3 linked regions of the Sus scrofa genome follow. The protein of the gene in region 1 interacts with the protein of each later gene in a biochemical or structural test. Links are inferred from orthologs where the notes say so. Each region holds a gene or a part of one and is shown in the gene's direction. Other genes may lie near its edges. The genes, in order: UBC, MYL1 and USP5.

The links.
Region 2: the proteins of UBC (region 1) and MYL1 form a complex in vitro, tested with the Homo sapiens proteins (2 studies listed by BioGRID). The link is inferred for Sus scrofa from reciprocal best matches to the Homo sapiens genes UBC and MYL1.
Region 3: the proteins of UBC (region 1) and USP5 form a complex in vitro, tested with the Homo sapiens proteins (31 studies listed by BioGRID, with this or other methods). The link is inferred for Sus scrofa from reciprocal best matches to the Homo sapiens genes UBC and USP5.

The regions. Positions count from the first base shown.
Region 1 is NC_010456.5:28,253,900-28,260,902, forward strand, and holds the end of UBC (polyubiquitin-C), read left to right. Parts: 5' UTR 1-13; intron 14-2,829; exon of another isoform or gene 2,830-2,936; 5' UTR 2,937-3,189; exon of another isoform or gene 3,190-3,394; intron 3,395-4,058; 5' UTR 4,059-4,061; coding exon 4,062-6,803; 3' UTR 6,804-6,872; downstream 6,873-7,003.
Region 2 is NC_010457.5:113,046,129-113,054,524, reverse strand, and holds the start of MYL1 (myosin light chain 1/3, skeletal muscle isoform), read left to right. Parts: upstream 1-3,209; 5' UTR 3,210-3,279; coding exon 3,280-3,282; intron 3,283-4,009; coding exon 4,010-4,034; intron 4,035-8,396. UniProt on the Homo sapiens protein: Non-regulatory myosin light chain required for proper formation and/or maintenance of myofibers, and thus appropriate muscle function.
Region 3 is NC_010447.5:63,840,000-63,847,562, reverse strand, and holds the end of USP5 (ubiquitin carboxyl-terminal hydrolase 5), read left to right. Parts: intron 1-342; coding exon 343-465; coding exon of another isoform or gene 466-534; intron 535-1,022; coding exon 1,023-1,387; intron 1,388-1,868; coding exon 1,869-2,022; exon of another isoform or gene 2,023-2,285; coding exon 2,286-2,370; intron 2,371-3,189; coding exon 3,190-3,283; 3' UTR 3,284-3,821; downstream 3,822-7,563. UniProt on the Homo sapiens protein: Deubiquitinating enzyme that participates in a wide range of cellular processes by specifically cleaving isopeptide bonds between ubiquitin and substrate proteins or ubiquitin itself.

The DNA.
Region 1 (7,003 bases):
GAAAGGCAGACAGGTAGGCTCCAGTCCAATCCCCAACAGCCCAACACCCAGGCCCTTTGTGAGCTCAGCCCATCACGTGCTCTTGCCTGCCCGCCAATCCTGCCGTGTTGCTGGGCCTCTGTCACTCTTCCATTGGTGCCAGCTCTGAAGCCATCCCTTCTGGGGCACCTGCAAAGGATGGATCAGTGGGTGGAAGGAACTGAAAATGGATCCAATGACTCATCCTGCTTCTGGCATATTCTAGCACATTGCATTCTAGGTCAAGGGATTTTAGGTTGTAGGAACGTGACTTGGTACACGATCCCCGAATCCAAGTGGGACATTTAGACTTTGGGAGCCCTTCTCAGCAAACAGAAAAGCAGCTCTAACAAAAACAACAAAAATCCTCCGTAGAGCAGAATTTGTCAACCCATTGCATTGCTGACTTTGGGGGCTGGGTAATTCTGTTTTTGTGGGGGACTGGCCACTGCAGGATGTTTAGTAACATCCCTGGCCTCTACCACTAGATTTTAGCGGCACACCTCAACCCCAACACCACAGCTGTGACAAGCAAAAATGTCTCCAGATACTGCCAAGTGTCCACCAAGGGACCAAGTCGCTCCTGGTTGAGAACCACTGCTCTAGAGAAACAGCATCTACCTCCCTGAGAGTTTACTTCCCCCTCCTCCCTTTCACTTCAGTGCCCTTGGACAAATGTTTATTTCTATTTGCTTCAACAAAACCCACTGTTGGACTTAGAGACCAAAATTCTCTAGTAGAGAATTTTCCTGCTAGAGACAACATCAGTGTTGTTAGCGCCTAAGAATATTGTTTTCTCTTTGGAGATAGCCCTGGGACCCAGTCCTCACCCTTGGAGCCTTTCTTCTTCCCCCTCTCCCCCTCTTTCTCCTTTTCACCTTCCCTTGCCTCTGAAATCAGGTCTGTTTTTCTCTGTAGTTTTTGGACTCTTGAAAAAAAAGCTATGTCACAAAGCTCGTGACTCAGCCTTTAAACAACATGAATCATAAGACCTGCAGTGAAAGAACAGCCAAAAGAAAACAGGGTGTGGTTTGAAGCCAGGCCTAGTCACCTGAGAAAGAACCTCAGCTTTTTGTTCCTCTGAAAACTTCTTTCTGGAATTCAAGAAGGAAACCTTATACAGAGCTTTGATGTTCTGTTCCTTTAAACCCTCTTTTCAGAAATTTAGAAATATCCCTCACAGAAATCTCTACTGGAAGTCACTGAGGTCTCCTGCTAAACTGAAAAATGACATTTTATTTTTATTATTCATTTACATTTCTTGGTAATGAATTCATTCTCTTTGAAAATGTTTAAAACGATAGGAGTTAAAGTCTGTTTTGAATACTGCTTAGACCTTTCCCATAAATACCTACAGACACAGGTTGCCAAAGAAAACATAGTTTTGTTTTTATTCTCATTTTAAGTACAGTATTTAAATAACATAATGTTTATAATTCCAACAGGAATGTAGTCTTTTCCTAATAGCAGGGTATTTTTTAGTCGGTTCTCTCTTTTTCTATATATTTATTGAAAGCTTCAAGGGTAAAAATTAAAAACACCCTCCCCACATTTATAGAAATAGAGAATATTTCTAGAAGAGTCTAGAAAGAACAGTGGCTAGGGAATTGAGTGCATGAGGGAGGTTTTTCATTATAAACTATAGAAAACCTGTTTTAAGTTTTCATCACGTTCATATATTTTAAAACATTTTTAAAATATGCCTTTGGAAAAAAATTTAAGTATGCTTTTTGAAAAAAGGAAAAAATATGCTGGAGAAATGACACAGAGATCACAAAATAAAATATCAAAATGAAAAAGATCTGACTGGTGATCTTTTTCTTTTATCCAAATGGAATTTGTCTATAGATTTAAATTTCATACTTGGGGTCTTTTTTCCACCAGGACTATACAGAACTTACAATTAGTGTCCTTTTAAAAATCTCAGGCTCAGCGATAAGAAAGGAAATGTATATATATGCATGACTATCATTTTGCTGTAAAGCAGAAATTGACATTATAAATCAACTACAATAAAAAACTTCATTAAAAAATAAAATTAAAAAAAAGAAAAAAAGAAAACGTGGGTTTAAATAGATTTGATTTCTGATTTCTGAGTTCAAATGGCAGCAGAAGTGAAATTCTGATGCCTTCTTGCTCATAATCGGGAACAAAACAGGAAGGCCGAAGAGCAATCCGCAAAGTTCTGTCAGCTTTCAGGTCCAGCGCAAGGAGTGTTTCACAGCTGTGTGGAATTTTTGCTTTTACTTTTCAAAATTCAATGTGAACTTGTCACAGGCATTTCTCCTTTGGACACTTATTTTTCACTCCTGCGTTGTGAGAAAATTCCTGCAGGTCCTGACGACCCTCCTGAGGCGGGCTTGAGGCCCGGCCCCGAGATTTGTCGAGTCATTCCTCTTGTCCCGGTGCCCGCCCGCAGGGGGATGGGTTCGGCCGCCACAGTTGGGGTGACTAGACCCCCCGGGAAGTCCTCGCGACCCACTGGGGGTGAGGGGAAGTTTATGGAAACAGAAACACTATCGTTACCTATGGGAGACCCAGAATAAAGACCCCACGGTTTCGCTGGCGGGGAAGAGGGGTTGGGGGGAGGGGCACGGCGGAACTCGGGCCAGGGGAGCGGGACCCCGATTCATCGTGAGGCGCTCGGCGGGACCCCTGTTAGCCGAGGGCGGGTCTCAGGAAAGGCGAGCCTTCCTGGTTGAGGGGAGGGGGCGCCGGGGACCGGCAGCGGGGACAGCCCCCTCCGGACGCTCAGAGGACTCCGTGTCGGGTTTTCGCACCTTCCGCGGCACCTCCCCCACACCCCCCCCAACCAGCCGAGTACCGGCCCTGTCCGCGGACGCAGTGTTCAGCGAACACGCTGATCCCTCCGCTCGGCCGCTCAGGACTAAGGCCTCGTCCCCCCCCCCCAAAATCAGCCCCAGTGTTCGAGTCTTCACAGGAAAGCATTCTAGGAGTGAAATTAGAAGATTCTGGGGGGACTGCTTCTCTCTTCAGAGGGCAGGAAGGGCCGCGAAAAGTAGTCCCTTCTCGGCGTTTCTGCGGAGGAATCTACTGGGGCGGTGCTACCGATGGCTATATAAGGAAGCACCGGGTGTGGCGCAGGCAGTTTCGTGGAGGCCGGGAGTTTGCCTGCGTTTCTTCTGTGACCGCTGTTGCCACTGCCACCTGGTGAGGCGGACGTCCGGGGGTCTTGCGGCTGCGGGGGTGGGTGCGGGAGGTCTGCTTGCCCGCCGCGGCGGAAGGGCAGCCGAGCTGCTTAGTCACCCGGGGCCCTCGTGCGGAATAGCCTTAAGACGAACGGCCACCTAGAGCAAAATGGCGGCCGTTCCCAATCTCTCTGTGGGAGAAGCCGGCCTCTGAAGCGGGCTCTGAGGTGGGAGAGAGAAATTGGGGGCGGGCGAGGAGCACTGGGTGAAACGGAAACGAGAGGCGCGGAGGCTTCCATTGATGGCGGGGCCCGGCCGTTTGTGGAACGGGGTTGTGCAGTGTTTCGGGGATCGAATGCTAGGTCATTGCTTTCCGGCTCGACTGGCTGGCTGGCGCGCGGCGAGAACTTCGGTTTTCCGTCCCTGTGAAGGGACACTAACTGCTGGTGCCGCTGAGTTGGCCTGAACGCTTCTGGGGCAGGGGACTTGCGATCCACGACCGTGACGAGGCCTCACCCCTTTTTGTGGGCTCATAGCCTAGGGTGGGGCCACCTGCCGCTATGTGTGTAGGAAGATGTTTAGTAGTTTGGGGACACAGGGTTTGGGCCTGGGGTAAACGCTGCCGTGTTGACAGAGGACAGACATCCATTGAGGGGGAGGATAAGTAGGTCCGCGAATTTACCTGGGTCAGGTTTCCATGTTTTGCTTTCTTAAACGCCTGAGACGTTGGATTTGAGGTTAATTGTCAAGCCTGTGAGGTTTTTAGGCACGTCAGTTATTTGGCTACTACAAAGTGATAATGAATTATTTAGCACTGGGTATATATTGGCCTGTGAATTTCTTGCTGAACTTTGGGCTTTTTTTTTTCCTGTTGTTTTTGTGTTGTAACAGACAATGCAGATCTTTGTAAAGACCTTGACTGGTAAGACCATCACCCTGGAAGTGGAGCCCAGTGACACCATTGAGAATGTCAAGGGGAAGATTCAAGAAAAAGAGGGCATCCCCCCAGACCAGCAGAGGCTGATCTTTGCCGGGAAGCAGCTGGAAGATGGGCGCACCCTGTCTGACTACAACATCCAGAAGGAGTCCACCCTGCACCTGGTCCTCCGCCTCAGAGGTGGGATGCAGATCTTCGTGAAGACCTTGACTGGTAAGACCATCACCCTGGAAGTGGAGCCCAGCGACACCATCGAGAACGTCAAGGCGAAGATCCAGGACAAGGAAGGCATCCCCCCAGACCAGCAGAGGCTGATCTTTGCCGGGAAGCAGCTGGAAGATGGGCGCACCCTGTCTGACTACAACATCCAGAAGGAGTCCACCCTGCACCTGGTCCTCCGCCTCAGAGGTGGGATGCAGATCTTCGTGAAGACCTTGACTGGTAAGACCATCACCCTGGAAGTGGAGCCCAGCGACACCATCGAGAATGTCAAGGCGAAGATCCAGGACAAGGAAGGCATCCCCCCAGACCAGCAGAGGCTGATCTTTGCCGGGAAGCAGCTGGAAGATGGGCGCACCCTGTCTGACTACAACATCCAGAAGGAGTCCACCCTGCACCTGGTCCTCCGCCTCAGAGGTGGGATGCAGATCTTCGTGAAGACCTTGACTGGTAAGACCATCACCCTGGAAGTGGAGCCCAGCGACACCATCGAGAACGTCAAGGCGAAGATCCAGGACAAGGAAGGCATCCCCCCAGACCAGCAGAGGCTGATCTTTGCCGGGAAGCAGCTGGAAGATGGGCGCACCCTGTCTGACTACAACATCCAGAAGGAGTCCACCCTGCACCTGGTCCTCCGCCTCAGAGGTGGGATGCAGATCTTCGTGAAGACCTTGACTGGTAAGACCATCACCCTGGAAGTGGAGCCCAGCGACACCATCGAGAATGTCAAGGCGAAGATCCAGGACAAGGAAGGCATCCCCCCAGACCAGCAGAGGCTGATCTTTGCCGGGAAGCAGCTGGAAGATGGGCGCACCCTGTCTGACTACAACATCCAGAAGGAGTCCACCCTGCACCTGGTCCTCCGCCTCAGAGGTGGGATGCAGATCTTTGTGAAGACCTTGACTGGTAAGACCATCACCCTGGAAGTGGAGCCCAGCGACACCATCGAGAACGTCAAGGCGAAGATCCAGGACAAGGAAGGCATCCCCCCAGACCAGCAGAGGCTGATCTTTGCCGGGAAGCAGCTGGAAGATGGGCGCACCCTGTCTGACTACAACATCCAGAAGGAGTCCACCCTGCACCTGGTCCTCCGCCTCAGAGGTGGGATGCAGATCTTCGTGAAGACCTTGACTGGTAAGACCATCACCCTGGAAGTGGAGCCCAGCGACACCATCGAGAACGTCAAGGCGAAGATCCAGGACAAGGAAGGCATCCCCCCAGACCAGCAGAGGCTGATCTTTGCCGGGAAGCAGCTGGAAGATGGGCGCACCCTGTCTGACTACAACATCCAGAAGGAGTCCACCCTGCACCTGGTCCTCCGCCTCAGAGGTGGGATGCAGATCTTCGTGAAGACCTTGACTGGTAAGACCATCACCCTGGAAGTGGAGCCCAGCGACACCATCGAGAACGTCAAGGCGAAGATCCAAGACAAGGAAGGCATCCCCCCAGACCAGCAGAGGCTGATCTTTGCCGGGAAGCAGCTGGAAGATGGGCGCACCCTGTCTGACTACAACATCCAGAAGGAGTCCACCCTGCACCTGGTCCTCCGCCTCAGAGGTGGGATGCAGATCTTCGTGAAGACCTTGACTGGTAAGACCATCACCCTGGAAGTGGAGCCCAGCGACACCATCGAGAACGTCAAGGCGAAGATCCAGGACAAGGAAGGCATCCCCCCAGACCAGCAGAGGCTGATCTTTGCCGGGAAGCAGCTGGAAGATGGGCGCACCCTGTCTGACTACAACATCCAGAAGGAGTCCACCCTGCACCTGGTCCTCCGCCTCAGAGGTGGGATGCAGATCTTCGTGAAGACCTTGACTGGTAAGACCATCACCCTGGAAGTGGAGCCCAGCGACACCATCGAGAACGTCAAGGCGAAGATCCAAGACAAGGAAGGCATCCCCCCAGACCAGCAGAGGCTGATCTTTGCCGGGAAGCAGCTGGAAGATGGGCGCACCCTGTCTGACTACAACATCCAGAAGGAGTCCACCCTGCACCTGGTCCTCCGCCTCAGAGGTGGGATGCAGATCTTCGTGAAGACCTTGACTGGTAAGACCATCACCCTGGAAGTGGAGCCCAGCGACACCATCGAGAATGTCAAGGCGAAGATCCAAGACAAGGAAGGCATCCCCCCAGACCAGCAGAGGCTGATCTTTGCCGGGAAGCAGCTGGAAGATGGGCGCACCCTGTCTGACTACAACATCCAGAAGGAGTCCACCCTGCACCTGGTCCTCCGCCTCAGAGGTGGGATGCAGATCTTCGTGAAGACCTTGACTGGTAAGACCATCACCCTGGAAGTGGAGCCCAGCGACACCATCGAGAATGTCAAGGCGAAGATCCAAGACAAGGAAGGCATCCCCCCAGACCAGCAGAGGCTGATCTTTGCCGGGAAGCAGCTGGAAGATGGGCGCACCCTGTCTGACTACAACATCCAGAAGGAGTCCACCCTGCACTTGGTCCTGCGCTTGAGGGGAGGTTTCTAAGTTCTCCCTTTTAAGCTTTCAACAAATTTCATTGCACTTTTCTTTCAATAAAGTTGTTGCATTCCAAAATAGTGTGATTTATTTTTAAGTGTCTAAGGAGGATTTTTTTTTTTAGGTCGGGTTGGGTATAAGAGATCAAGTGTTTTCAGTCTGCTACATAATCTGTGGTAAACAGGAGGTAAGAAATGTCAGTAAAAGAT
Region 2 (8,396 bases), on another chromosome or scaffold:
TCCTTCTATATATCAGAAACTTTATCTTGCCTTTAATCAGCTAACCAAATCTCATGATTACTATCAAAAATATTTCTCAAAATGAGAAACAATCTGAAAACACTGTAATAAAAATATTTTTAAATATTAGTACCTGTTGACTACCACGTACTGAAATCCAATACCAAATGGTATAGGAATAGCAAAAATGTGAGATGTAGTTATTTTACCAGCAGTCTAAGATAAGTATGTAGGCTAAGATGGAAGAACCCATTTACAAAAAAAAACAAAAAACAAAAAAAACAAAATTGAGGGCTGGCAAATTAGAAGTCCTGATCATAGCACTTATATAAAATCTACGAAAGGGTTCTGGAAATATAAAAGGATGTACGTCAAGAATTCAGAGCGAGCATGCCTACAATGTGCGTTCTAGGTGCTGGAGATGTACCATCAAAAGAGAATGTGTGCCTCCCCACTTCCCGCCCCAGAATGCAAGCTCTTTGAAGAACTGATAAGGTCTCTTACCTCAGGGAATATAACATTCTAGAAGAGGAGCCTTGTTTGAAAGAGGAACTTACTATACATATGCTCTAATGATCTTAATGAAAATTCTGCTGAGCATCCTAACTATAGGCAAGACATTTTATCGAGTTACGGAAGATAAAATCTAGGGGGTAGAGATGTTGGCTCGCACCCGGATTCACATCATGGACCAAGGGAAATGGTCCCAGTAACATCCTGTGCTTCCCAGAAGGTGGCAATCAGGAAGATTAAACGTCTTTCAGCGGAGAAAGGAGCTAGGCAAGTAGAAAATTTTCTTTCCAGAGGAGATTTTTATCAGGGATTTGAAGGATAGTTAAATTCTAAGAAGCATTCCAGATAGAAGAGACTTAAATCTAATTTTCAAAACAAACTAAATGATGACATAGCAAACTGAGTTGAAAAATCAGCTGACATTTTGTATTCATATCATGCCATTTGTTCAAAGGGCTGATTACTTCATCATTATAACACCCAGAAAGAAATACAAGAGAAAGCTATTGCCATTTGTAAAGGTGTAAAATGTACCAGAGAATAAATAGCATCCCCCATTTATTCTATGAGCACAGTATCTTGGTCTTCTAACTTTTAAACTGTAGTTTATTCTCTAGACCAGGCTTGATCATGGCCTTATCTACAAATGTCAATAGCTTGATTAAAGGTTTACTTTCTCAATAAGCATAAAAAAACTAAACTTCCACTCTATGTGATTAAAAATGTAGAGAAAAACTGGCATGAAATAGTTTGACAACTGCCTCAATTCTATTTTAATAATAATAAAGCTTTAACATCCAAGTGGTTATGAATAACATATTTATAATAAAAATAAAACTATTAAAATGACTTTCCAGTTTACTCAACAGATTTTACACAAACTGACTGTATTTTATATTTATTCAAGGACACATATTTCTACCTGAAAAAAAAAATGAAAATGAGCATTGTACAGGGCATATGATAGGCATTATGTAGGGCAACTTTGATGAGTTTTTGGTATTACCTACAGTTATTTACTAAAGATACATGCCAGTACTCAATATTAATCATAGGGCAATTCAAACTTATTGACACAATACATAAATAAAAATAAAAGACTAAAAAGAACACAAAGAAACATAGTCTGCTCTAATGGCTCTAATATATCAAAAATCATGAAACTCCAATTACACAATTATCAAGGTGACAAATTTCCACCTTTATTTCTCACTTTCATTTCCCCCTAATGATTCAAAGGGTTCAAATTTTTTCTCTTAACTTCCATTTCCCAACAGCCTCTCAAAATGGCAATCTGTTCATGAAGATATGTCTACCTGGGCTCTAATATTTTTAAATTATATTTTTAATCCCCATTTTGGGACTCAGACTCTATGAAATTTTTTTTGTTACTTGTAAACTTTGGATGAAAAATTATACTCATTTAAATGTTGATTTTTTTTCCAAATGGCTTGAGGGAAAGCTTCAAAATACAAAACTGTCTATCAGAAGGAGACTACACTTTTTGTGACCATTCCCTTAAAAGCAGTTGCTGAAACAGTGCATAAATTTGAATTTGTCTCCAACATTCTTTATGCTTTGAACTCCTTTAAACATGTAGAAAACTGATAAACAAGTCTGAACTTTAGTGGACATCTTAAACTGATCTTTTCCCAGTGCCATTCTAAGAAGGGAATTGCCCTCTATTATCAGGTAAGCTGCCATGAAAATTTACTACCAGCCAATCCCTCAGATACCTTTAAAATTCTAAAGTACAACTTTGCATTTCACATCCTCTGCTTTGGATTCTTTTAGTTCTCAGTCTGGAGATGAAGCCATAAAAATGTTTGACATGGCAGAGAGGAAATCAGGTCATTCTAGTAAGAACATAAGCAACATTTTTAAATTTTAAAAGAATATATGTATAGAATGAAAGTAAAAGAACACAAAAATGATCTATCAGCTCTCCTTCCTAGAACTTCATAAATTCAAAAAATATGACTAGTTAGCCACCATAAAGATAATGGAAGGAAAGCAAATACTCACCCCTAACATAAAAAACAAACTAAAGGAGATTGGTGAAAATGGAGATTAAAACCATTCCTAGCTTAAACTCTATACTCCTGAGAATACAACTTGCAAAATAATGGTCCTTAATTGGAGATTTCACAAACTGACCAGATTTTCACTGGAGTGGACCCTAAGAAACATACAGAATATGCATGGCCCTTTTAAGTCCTCTGAACTTTACCACAAGGGACAGAGCTTCAGAAGGCATTCCTTCTGTAAATGTTGCCATTTGAAATCCTAAACCAGTCCTACACAAAAAGTCTCATTACTACCAAAATTGCTAACTTGAAGTTTGCCAAGTCCATAATTAACCAAGAGAAGAGGTCAGCTCAAGTCTTTAGAGAAATTCTAAGCTCCTTTGCCACTGAACACATAAGGAGCTTCTTAAAGGAAGACAGTCCAAGAGAACTTCTCAGGGATAAAGACCATAAAAGTACTGATAGGCATTGGTCTCACTATGGCTGTCCACTCCTAGGTTCTGATTTCCTAAAAATAGACCTCAGGGTACAGATCCCTCTTTCCCTTTGCCCTAAGAAAGCTAAAGAACTCTCCAAGGGGTGTGGCTACCTCTCTCTGAAATCTGATGCTAGTTATGAAGTCAGAGCTTCTCCAGAAATAAAAGGGAGCCTCAGCAAGGGAGGCCCCCCACTCAGGGATTGGATCAGCCCTCAACTCACTCTTCAGCTTCGCCGCTGTTTGCAGCCCAGCAGTTTCATCATGGTGGGTCCTATGAGAAAAACTGTAACTTACAGAAAGATACAGATAGTGGGTAGGAATAAAACTGAGGAGAGAACATATTCAGTATGAATCTGTAGAATCTATTCTGGGGCTTTGCTGAGGTGGGTTAAGAATAGAAGAAATTAATTCAAGCTATTACTTCAACTAGAAAAATACATCTTATTCCCAAAAGCATATTTTATGCTTCACCAACTTTGCTATATCACATAAGGTTTATTATATCTAAATTTAGGGGAAAAAAAACCTTCAACTATAGCAAAATAGTATACCTTAGAAAACAATCCAATGGTGCCAATAACTAAAATTAAGTAAACTACTTCCAATGCATTGGGTAAAAATGTACTGGTTAAAAAGAAGAAAGATTTAAAATGATCTTTTTAATGCAGTCTATATGAACTTCTTAGTAAGTATATCTTTATTAGATATATCTTAAATACACCATAGATTATTATATTTTTCCAGAAAGAATCTGATTTAGCATTTGTTAAATCATTGACTCGTGTATTAAGATGCAGAGAGATGTTCCCTAACTATCTTGTGCAGTAGCTTTTTATTTTTCCTAGACTCAAAAATGTCCTAAGGCAACTCTTATTCTATGACACCTACATGGCTTCCTAAACATCTTGAAGCAAAAAGCACTCTCTTCTGTCAATGCATTTGAAAGAGTACTAGTTGTTTCTTTCTTTCTTCCTCTCTCTCGCCACTGCAGTCCTTCAGTGCTGACCAGATTGCTGGTAAGTGAATCAAGCTTCTCTATTACAGATGTAGGCAGAGAACTGCTTAGTTTCTGAAATATCACTCATCTCCAAGGCATGTTACTGTGTGGCTCAACCTATTAGTATCCAAGCTATGCCTGAATTCTGAAAAGTAAGCATACTTTTTGAGCTTACTTTGAAGATTACTCAGGGAATGAGCTTGGATACATTTAAAAACCAGGACATTTTTGTTTGGTTAAAATATTCTTTGTGGTTAATTTCTTTCTAACAGATCGAGTTCTCTAAGGAACAGCAGGATGGTAAGTTTAAACGACATAGTTTTTAAATGTGCACACTTATAAAGATGGCATGTGAGAAAACCAACTCCTCTGAGATGAGATTAGCTCTTTCTAATTATCCCCACTGGTGTTGCCACTCTAAATATAAATGCTCTCAATCACTCTAAATATAAAGTCTCTCAATGTGAACTTTTTGCTTATAATCAGTAACGAAAAATTTAAGCAAGCAAAAGCTAAATACCACAAAAGAATTCCTTATACTCACTGATTTCTTAATAAAACCAATTTGATACAGTAAGTAATACTACCCGCTATATAACCCCCAAAATGATGTGGACTTAGGATGGTTAATTTGTCAACGAAATCCCTAAAGAGAGATTGGACATGTCTAAATTGTTCAGTGTAGAAAACAAAATTGATTACAAAACTGCTTAATTACCAAATCCACATATCAATGGGCACCACAGTAAGTTGAGAAAAATAGCGGATGAAGGGGATATAGAATAAAAGTGCATTCAGAGACAAAGAGAAGGGAAATAATTTATAAAAAAGAAAAAACTATTGAAGGAAGCTTAGACATCTCCTGGTCCAGTTTTAGAGATGCAGGACAGGCTCCCAGAAAAGTACTGAAACTGGCTTAAAGCTCCCAACAATTAATGTTAGGATCAAAATCTAGTATTAGTTTGAATTAATTAGAAATTTCTATCATACAAACAGTTTCTAACTAGAAGACTTCAAACTTTGGAGATTCAAGAGAATCTGAATAGTTTCCCTAAGACTTCCACTTTTTCTTCTTCAGGTCTTTGGTCCCAAGAGATCTTGTGCCCTATCAATCTTGCTTTTTCACTAGAAAGCTTAGGGCAGAATGTTTATGGAGTGCAAGTGTCACATATTTAAATAAACTGAGACAAAAATACATCTAAGAAGGGAGAAGAGAAAATTTTAATTATATAATATTGTGTAAGTTTTAATATTGGTCATAATAAGTATGTATATATTATATGTTATAATATATAATATGTAAATAATTGTAATAATACTCATAAATGTATGATTATAGTTATACCTCATTTCTCTACCTAAAGGATTCAACATTTTCAGTCTTTTTCAGCGTCCAAAATATCTCATGTTTGGATATTAGTTAAGGAAAAAAGGATATTTGCTATTGTAAAGACATATATTTCTACAGTATGGTTAATGCCTTCATGTAGAGAGAGTAGAAGCTTTGATAACTTAGAATTCAAGATCATCTGAAATTATACTACAAAAGACTATGTTTTCTTATTGAAAACAGTTGATGATTCTACTATAATTGTTTTATGTTTAATGTATTTTTTATTTATTATAATTTTTATTGAAGTATAGCTGATTTATATTATGTATGTTTCAGGGGCGATTCAGTTATACATATATATGTATAGATATTCAGTTACACATATATATACACACATATGTGTATATATACACACACACATACATACATACACTTCAGATTCTCTTCCCGTATAGGTTATTACAAAATAATGAGTATAGTTCTCTATGCTCTACAGTAGGGCCTTGCTGGTTATTTTAACTAGTGATGCTGCAATTATACTGCATTCCAGTCCTCTAAAATATCTAATTTACTGTGTCATTATGACTTCCAAACTATGGCAGAATCAAGCAATAGAAGACTCAAAAACCCTTTCAGAGACAGAAGGGCTTGCAGTGGAACATTTGGATTATTACTGTATGTGAAATAGGTTTTAGATGTAGAGGTTCAGTAAATGTTGGTGTGGGAGACGTTTTCTCCTGTGCCAGGAAAGCAAATCTAAGCATTTTAAATTAAAAGGAAATCTTATATTTTCAGCAATAAAGACTTACTTTGCTCCCGTGTTCAATGATTAGAGTTTTTCTCTTGGCTTCTCTATTTGAATATATCACGAGTTTGGAGTAAAGAAAAAAAAAAACTGGAAAATTAAAGTGTTCTAAAGGTCTAAGTTCTGTGCTGTCCAGTAGAGTTACCACTAGTGACATGTGGCTATTTAAATTTAACCTTTAATTAAGCAAAAATAAATATGTTTAAAAGTCTATTTTCTCAGTTGCACTAGTCATATTTTAGTGCTCAAGAACCACAGGTGGCTAGTAGCTACTACTCTTTTAGAAAGCCCAGATATAGAACATTTCAATCATCATAAAAAATTCTAGGAAGAGTTCCCGTCCTGACTCAGCAGTGACAAACCCGACTAGTATCCCTGAGGACGTGGGTTCAATCCCTGGCCTCGATCAGTGGGTTAAGGATCTGGCGTTGCCATGAGCTGTGGTATAGGATGCAGATGTGGCTTGGATCCAGTGTTGCTGTGGCTGTGTCTGTGGCTGGCAGCTGAAGCTCCAATTAGACCCCTAGCCTGGGAACTTCCATATGCCACAGGTGTGGCCCTAAAAAGACCAAAAAAAAAAAAAAAAAAAAGTTCTAGAATGGTGTTCTAGACTAGGGACTGGCAAATTTTTTCATAGAGGGCTAAGCAGTAAATATGTGAGGTTTTGCTGATACTACAGACTCCATAAAAACAACTCAATTCTATTATTTAGGTATGAAAACAGCCACAGACAACACATAAATGAATGGGTATGGATATATTCCAATCAAACTCTATTTACAAAAACAGGTGGCCAGCCCCTAGGCAGTCATCAGTTAACTCATGTTCTATATTCTTCAAAAGAATACAAAGCCTGGAGCTCCCGTCATGGCGCAGTGGTTAATGAATCTGACTAGGAACCATGGGGTTGCAGGTTCAATCCCTGCTCTTGCTCAGTGGGTTGAGGATCCAGCATTGCCATGAGCTGTGGTGTAGGTTGCAGACGCAGCTCGGATCCCACATTGCTGTGGCTCTGGCGTAGGCTGGGGGCTACAGCTCCGATTAGACCCCCAGCCTGGGAACCTCCACATGCCGCGACAGCGGCTCAAGAGATGGCAAAAAGACAAAAAAAAAAAAGAATACAAAGCCTTAAAAATCTGAAGTGGGAAGAGCCATATCTTTCTGGCCTTTAAACCAACAAGAGAGTTAATGTCAAAGAGATTCTATTACAGTCCATAAAATCCTATTTCTATATTAGCATCTGACCAGGGTAATAGTGAGCCCTCTGAGCAATCTGCATGAAAGACTTAAACAAGTAACAAGAATAGTTCAGTTTTACATGCCCCTTAGAAAGATAAAAAATATTTGACTAATGACCCCACAGTGCCTGCAGCATGTGTTTTAAATTAGGGAAAGGATCTGTAATGTCAATTTGTGTAGAATTTGAGGGAGAAATTTTAGCAGAGAATGGTAACATATCTATATTTGATTGTGAATTTAATGTCTGATGCAATCTTAGATGGGGGATGGAGGGATAATAAAATAGGGTACTTTGCTGAATAATCTTTCTAAATAACATCTCTTGATTTGAGCCCACTAATGACCTGAAAAGAATATTTTCACCTCTACCAGTTCATTCACAAATGTGTTTATGAGTGATGTTGGTATTAACTCCAACAAGTTGCCATCAGTACCTTGAGGTTCTCCAGAAAATGTGATGTAGCTAAGCTTTGAAACTTCAGTAAAAATGTCTTTACGTGTCCCTAAATCTATAGTAGCACCTTTTTCTGTCTTTTTGGTGTACACTTCTTAATTCTTTGTCAATGTAATTCTAAAAGGCAAAACCAATTCTATCAAAGGGGAATGAAAAAATGTAGGGCAAGTAAGCAATAGAGTGATTATGATAAAAACAGACACTTTTAAAATATATACTTACAAACACAAATACAAGTAGAACTAGGGAAATCTGAATAAAATAAATGGAGTCTATTAATGTGAATGTTCTGGTTACAATAGTATATTATAATTTTGCAAAATGTTATCACTGGGGGAAATTAGAGTATTTAAGAAATCTTTTGTATTTTTTCTTGAAATTTCATGTGATTATAGTTATTTCCATAAAATTTTAATTCTACAGCTAATAAAGCATCATATTATCATATGTATTATCTGAAGAAATAGTAAAGTTTAAAGAGATTATCAGGGCAATAGATCCAAATAGTTTTCCTTCTGAATCAGTCATAAATGAATCTATTAGAATCATA
Region 3 (7,563 bases), on another chromosome or scaffold:
CATTTTGATAATCTCAAAATAATGAGTTCTCATGGGTCTTCAGGCCCCTGACCACTTGGTGAACTGCAGAATTAACTTGACCTCCTAGCTAAGTTGAGCCCCATGGAAGCATAGAATCATCTGTGGCCCCTTCCTGGACTGTGGCTCATTGTGAAAAGATCTAGGACTGGAATCCAGGTCTTCTGACCCCTGGCCTGATGGCTTTTATTACACTGTGACTCCTGTGCTGGGTCCTGCTCTGAGCAAGTCGGGGGCAGGGGGCTTGAGATTCCCAGAGTGCTTTTCCCGGGAGGGCTTCCGGGAGCTGCCAAGGTGACCCTTGTCCTGCCGGTCCCCTCGCAGATGTGTCCATCGAGATGCCCGAGGAGCTAGACATCTCCCAGCTGAGGGGCACAGGGCTGCAGCCTGGAGAGGAGGAGCTGCCCGACATTGCCCCACCCCTGGTCACTCCGGATGAGCCCAAAGGTAGCCTTGGTTTCTATGGCAACGAAGACGAAGACTCCTTCTGCTCCCCTCACTTCTCCTCTCCAACATGTTAGTGACTCTTCTTCCTGCCTGTCTCTTTCCCTTGCTGATGGGGATCTTCTCTGCCTGCCTCCCCTTGACCCTGTCCTTTGTGTTTCTCCTGTCCTCCCTTTCAAATTTTCCTTGGCCCTCTTGATGAACATGGGGACCGATCGAGCCCTCCCAGCCATGGTCTCTGTGTGGATGGTGGCACACTGGCTGATTGCCTCTGTCCTTGTTACTTGGGTGGGGGCAGGGGCGGGGGCTCGTCCTCCAGACAGTGGGCGAGGAAGGGGCTCCCTGGGGGATCTGTAGCCTGAGTTCTGTACCTTTCGGATACGGCTGGCCCCCCATCAGGTTGTGTTGTCATTTTAGTTCTGGAATCAGGTGCTGGGCCTTGGAGGAAAAATGCATGCAAGGTGGTTGGGGGAGTCCTGGGGGCTGGACTCTGGCAGGAGGGAGGGGGCAGGGAGTGGCCCCAGGAGGCACGCCCCATGCCCGCGCTTCTCTGCCAACAGCGCCCATGTTGGATGAATCGGTTATCATCCAGCTGGTGGAGATGGGCTTCCCGATGGACGCCTGCCGCAAAGCCGTCTACTACACGGGCAACAGCGGGGCCGAGGCCGCCATGAACTGGGTCATGTCGCACATGGACGATCCAGGTAGGCTGGGGTGGGGAGCTGGGTGGGGCGGGGCCGCTGCACGCCCCACACACTTCAACCCCTTCACGTCCACAGATTTCGCGAACCCTCTCATCCTGCCTGGCTCCAGCGGGCCCGGCTCCACAAGCGCAGCAGCTGACCCCCCACCAGAGGACTGCGTGACCACCATTGTCTCCATGGGCTTCTCCCGGGACCAGGCCCTGAAAGCTCTGCGGGCCACGGTATAGCCTGCCCCCAGCCGAGCTCAGTCCTGTGGGAAGGAGAGGGTGGGAGCAAGCTTCTATCCCTCGTGAGCAAGACCAAGGATGACCCACGTAACGGGTCTGAGGAGCTAAAGATGCTAAAGGAGCCGAGGCCGGAGTTCCCGTCGTGGCGCAGTGGTTAACGAATCTGACTAGGAACCATGAGGTTGCGGGTTCGATCCCTGGCCTTGCTCAGTGGGTGAAGGATCTGGTGTTGCCGTGAGCTCTGGTGTGGGTCGCAGATGCGGCTCGGTTCCTGCACTGCTGTGGCTGTGGTGTAGGCCAGCAGCCACAGCTCCGATTAGACCCCTATCCTGGGAACCGCCACATGCTGTGGGTGCAGCCCTAGAAAAGGCTAAAAAAAGAAAGAAAAAAAAAAGATAAAGAAGCTGAGGCCTTCCCTGGCAGCCTTCTCCAGCCTGACAGTGCTAGAAAAAGTGACTCTTCTCTCTTTTCTAAGAACAATAGTTTAGAACGGGCTGTGGACTGGATCTTCAGTCACATTGATGACCTGGACGCAGAGGCTGCCATGGACATCTCGGAGGGCCGCTCCGCTGCCGACTCCATCTCCGAGTCCATACCAGTGGGACCTAAAGTCCGGGATGGTCCTGGAAGTGAGTGTCCCCTGAAACCAGAACAGGCCTGGTGGGATCTAGCCCGTTGGCTCCACCAGGTCTGCTTCCCTGGGGTGGTGGGAGGAGGCGGACAGGGGGCAGAAGCTTCTTTCCACCAGCTCGACTCCTGGAGGTGGGTTCCTAGGACGAGAGAGAGCCTCTGGGCCCAGTGCATGCCTCCAGTTCCCTGAAATCCCGTCCTGTGTGTGAGCTGTGGGGTCCAGCCGCCCTCCCTCTCTGCCCTCTCTCCCCCCCTTCCCTAGAGTATCAGCTCTTCGCCTTCATTAGTCACATGGGCACGTCAACCATGTGTGGTCACTATGTCTGCCACATCAAGAAGGAAGGCAGGTGAGGGGCCAGCACGTGCGTTTTTGAATGGGAGCGTGATGGTGGGAATGGTAGGGGCATCCTGGAAGTCCTCAGATTATGTGTGAGGGAAGGTAAAGGGTTGCTGGTGGGGCCGCAAACTCAGCGGAAACAGAGAAAGCCTCACGGCAGGGATTGGCCAACAAGGGCCCAGAGGCTGAATTCGGCCACTCACTTTTATAAAGTCCTACTGAGAGTTCCCATTGTGGCTCAGTGGGTTAAGAACCCGACTAACATCCATGAGCATGCGGGTTCTATCCAGGGCCTCGCTCAGTGGGTTAAGGATCCGGCGTTACTGCAATCTGCTTGATGCGTGTAGTTCGCAGGCAGGGCTCAGATCTGGTGTTACTGTGGCTGTGGCACAGGCCGGCGGCCACGGCTCCAATTTGGTCCCTAGCCTGGGAATCTCCGTATGCTTGCAGGTGCAGCCGTAAAAAGAAAAAGTCTTGGTGAGCACAGCCAATTACCCACTTATCTATCTGTGGCTCTCTTCGAGTTGCCACAGGAAAGTCAAGTAGTTGTATCAGAGACCAGATGGCCTGCAAAACCCGAAACATATCCTGTCTGATCCCTGCCTAATAGGAACGGGTGGCAAGTGGCTATAAAGACACCACAGGGTCTGAAAGCCCTGAGTCCAGTCGCAATGACCCTGTGAGATTGGGATGCTCCCTTCAGATAGGCAGCTGGACTGTAGGTTTGGGGACCCAGGCAGAGAATGTTGGGAGCCTTTGCCCGGGAATCACCAGGAGCCACCTCCAAGAGAGGAGCTGTTCATCCTTTTCCCCCCACATTCTTCCCCAGATGGGTGATCTACAACGACCAGAAAGTGTGTGCCTCTGAGAAGCCGCCCAAGGACCTGGGCTACATCTACTTCTACCAGAGAGTGGCCAGCTAAGAGCCCACCCTGAGCCCTTAACCACTGAGGGCAGGGGACAGACCACCCGGCATGAGGGATGGATGTCAGCCCCCCTGCTCCCGTACCCTTTTCCTTTTCGTGTCCCCAGCAGCAGGGAAGAAGCTAGAGGCTATGAGAGAATGGCCAAGCGAAGTGGGGGGGGCACTCTGGAGACTTTGGGGATGGAGCAGGAAGGGGAACGGGAGGGGCCGGCTGCCTGTCTGTGAGGAGACTGTTGCTTTCCTGCCCTTGACCCCACAGGGCTCTGCTTCTCTGTGATCCTGCTGGCCCAGCGTGGAGCGGGCTCGTTTGTTTGTGTGGCGTGGGTATAGCTTTGTGCAGCCTCTTCCACAGGAGGGGGCTTCTGTGCCTCCCCTCCCCCGTTGTGTGTGCTCCCCGTGTGGTTGGGCAAGGAGGGATCTGAGGGAAATGGGGACCCCCCTCGCCCTCCTGCCTCAGTCTTTTCCCCACCCTGTCTCTCCCCTGTCCTTCTGGAAAATGCCAAAATACAGGATGTGAATAAAAGTACAGTGGCTCAGTTGTGTCCTGTTTGATACCTTTGGGGGAAGCTGTCTTCCCCAGGGCTAGCAGCGGGGCCAGTTTCACAAAGCTCCTGGCCCTGCCCCTTTGCCTTCTATGTTTTGTGCTGGTGTGATTGGGGGCTGAGTGAGGTGAGCTCTGGGGCAGCAGAGGAAGGCTGCGGGGTGGGGGCTGTTAGATGAGGGGATGTGGGCTGGGGTGTCACAGAACAGAGATGGGGTGGAAGAGCCCTTTCTTGCAGCCGTGATACCGGAGGGGGCCCAGGTGGGTTCTTTCCAAATGTCCCCAGTGGCTGTAGTCCTTTGTCAGGCCTTGGCCTGCTGGAGCAAAAAGCGGGGTATTCATGGGGACAGGGCGGACTTCTGAACCCCCCTCCCTTAGCTGCACAGTTTCTAGCCAAGGTGGGCCATCCCTCCGCTGCTGAACCCTGTTTTTTGCCCAGTTACTGTGGGGCTGGGTCGGCCCCGGGTGGGTCAGAGGTGTCCGCTCAGCACTCAGGGATGTGGGGGCTCCGATGGGGAAGGAGGCTCCTTTTCCCAGAGCTGGAGAGAGGCCCCTCCCCTATCCCTCGGTGTGGGGGTGGCGTGATGAAGCCGTGAAGCGGGGGTTTCCCTGAGCACCGGGCGCACGGTTCTCCCCAAAGTCAGACCACGGAAGCTGTAGCCACCGAGCCTGGACGCCGCTGGAACGTTGCTACAAGAAAGAAGGTGACGTCAGAACCTCGCAACGCGGGCGGCGGCGAGCGGCAGCGGGCGGTGGCGGGCGGCGGGCGGCGGGCGGGGCCGGGGCTGGGCTTCCGCGGGGCGGGCCAGTCATGGCCCAGGACGCGAAGGGGGCGGGGTTCTGCCTCTCCGCTCTCTATATAAGCGGCCAGTGGAGACGGCCGCGCGCTGCTCCTGACCTTCAGTGTGCTGGCTCCAGCGCCATGGCGCCCGCTAGGAAGTTCTTCGTGGGGGGAAACTGGAAGATGAACGGGCGAAAGAACAATCTGGGGGAGCTCATCAACACCCTCAACGCAGCCAAGCTGCCGGCCGACACCGGTGAGCCCTGGCGGTGGGTGGGAGGTCGGGCGTGGTGGCGCCCTCTCCCGAGCTCTCTCAGCAGTTGTCTGCGTGGTCCTGCTTGCAGGGCCGGAGACCAGAGTTACTGGGGTCCCGGCCTTGGCCCTGCGGCCGCAGGACCAGGGGTGTGTCCACGGGGAAAGGCGGAGCCGCATCTCCCTGTGCCCTCCGACTGTGGGAGGAAGACGGCTCCGGGGTGCGGACCGGGGCTGCACCCGCCCGAGCCGGGGATGGAAGTGGAGCCCAGCCCCTACGGGCGATCGGGAGAGGCCGGCGCCAGTCCGGTGTGTGGGGGAGGAGGCTGCGTGCAGGCTTCTGGGCCCCCTCGGCGCCGGCTCCGTGCGCCGCCGCACGTAGCCCAGACTCCTCCCCGCGCTTTGCCTGGGCTACCGAGTTCCCCTGCCGGGTGGCCCTTGGCCTCTTGAGCTACTCTTCTGATCCTTTCCCCTCGGCGGCCTGCAAGACCCTTCTGCGGAAGGGGCTGAGCAAGTGACAAACGGGCAGAGCCATGTGGGGATGAGGAGCGATCCTCTTGTTTTCTGCAACCTGGATACGGGAAAACGCAAGGCCTCTATGAGCCAGTCGACTCGCTGCCACCCACGGACAGAGTGCCGTCCTCAGTCCTTCCCATCCCAGGCATCTAAATCACAGAACCCCGGGTCTGATCAAGAGGCACCCCCTTCTGGTTTATTCCCCCCAGAGACTGCAGTACAGACCCCAGGAGTTGGCCCTTTCTGCTTTTGCTAAAAATCCTTGCCTGGCTAGGAGAGGTGGGAATGAGCTATTTTAGAAGGGAGGCGGGGTTGGCCCCAGAGAATGCTGAGTCTAGGAGGTGCCCAGGCCCAGAATAGCCTGGGGAAATCAGAGCCACAGCTGTTAAAAGAGCAGAGGGCAGGGCAAGGGCCATGACCTCTCAGGGGTACCCAAAAGGTTCAGAGTTGGGTTCAGGCCCAGCCTGGGGTGCAGAGTAGACAAAGATCATCATGCTGGTGTGGAAATGGGCGAAGGCAGAACTATGAAAGCGGTGGAGGCTAGGGGGCTCCAGAGCACTGGATAGGGTCTGGATTTGTGATGCCATCCCCTTCTGTCACTGTCTTCTACTCAGAGGTGGTTTGCGCACCCCCCACCGCCTACATTGACTTCGCCAGGCAGAAGCTAGATCCCAAGATTGCCGTGGCTGCACAGAACTGCTACAAAGTGGCTAATGGGGCCTTTACTGGGGAGATCAGGTAAGATGGTGTGTGTGTGTGTACTGGGGGGACCCAGCCCTTATTCTCCTCATGGAGGGAAAAGCCATGGGGTGGGCTCCCTCCTGAGCCATGGCTTTTTCTCTTCCTCTAGCCCTGGCATGATCAAAGACCTCGGAGCCACGTGGGTAGTCCTGGGGCACTCGGAGAGAAGGCATGTCTTTGGAGAGTCAGATGAGGTTAGTGACCAGGAGAGGAGATAAGAGATGGCTTATTCCAAGACAGGTGTCTCACCAAGTCTGTTCCTCAACAGCTGATTGGGCAGAAAGTGGCCCATGCCCTGGCAGAGGGACTTGGAGTAATCGCCTGCATTGGGGAGAAGCTAGATGAGCGGGAAGCTGGCATCACCGAGAAGGTCGTTTTCGAGCAAACCAAGGTCATCGCAGGTATCTCTGGAGAAAGGGACGTTTGGACCTAGCCAGGGCTACGGAGGAACAGAGGGCGGGGTCAGATGCCTTGCCTCCTGACTTGATTCCCCATGCTGATGCAGGAAAGGGGAGGCTAAGAACCCTTGTATCCTTCCTATCACTTCCCCTCCTGCCCCTGACAGTATATGATGCCACTTGGAGTTCCCTTAACAGCCACCAGAGGGCAGTAGGCCGCCATCACTCATTCTCTGGGGAACAGCTGGATCGCTCCTCCTTCACCCTTCCACCTGTGATCTCTGTCCCACAGATAATGTGAAGGACTGGAACAAGGTTGTCCTGGCCTATGAGCCTGTGTGGGCCATCGGTACCGGCAAGACTGCCACACCCCAACAGGTAACCAAGCCCAGGAGTTCATCCTCCCCTGCCTTGGTAGCATTGGACGGCCACAGAGACCATCTGGGCCGACCCTTCATTTAAAAGACAGGACAGGGAGTTCCCACTGTGACCCAGCAGTAACATAGTGTCTGACTAGTATCCACGAGGATGTAGGTTCTGTCTCTAGCCTTGCTTTGTGGGATCTGGTGTTGCGGTGAGCTACAGTGTGGGACGCAGACCTACCTGGCTCAGATTTGGGGCGGCTGTGGTGTAGGCTGGCGGCTGCGGCACCAGCTCAACCCCTAGCCTGGGAACTTCCATATGCCACACATGCCCCCCTAAAAAAAAGGGGGGGGAGGACAAAACAGAGTCACTTGTCCAAGGACATCCGTTCCAGGGACTGGGTGGAATTAAAGCCTCCGGGTTCCCTCTCAGGTCCCAGAGTTCTTGCCCCAAAACCACAATGCCTGTCTCCACTGGTACCCACAGTTTCCCCCACTTGGAATGAAAAGTCTTAGTCTGGCTTCTTGTTTTAGGCCCAGGAAGTACATGAAAAGCTCCGGGGATGGCTTAAGACCCACGTCTCTGAGGCAGTGGCTCAGAGCACCCGCATCATTTACGGGGGTAAGTGGCTCTGGCTCCAGCCTGGAGTGGGGTGGGCTGAGAATCAGACTGAGCCCTCCTTAGAC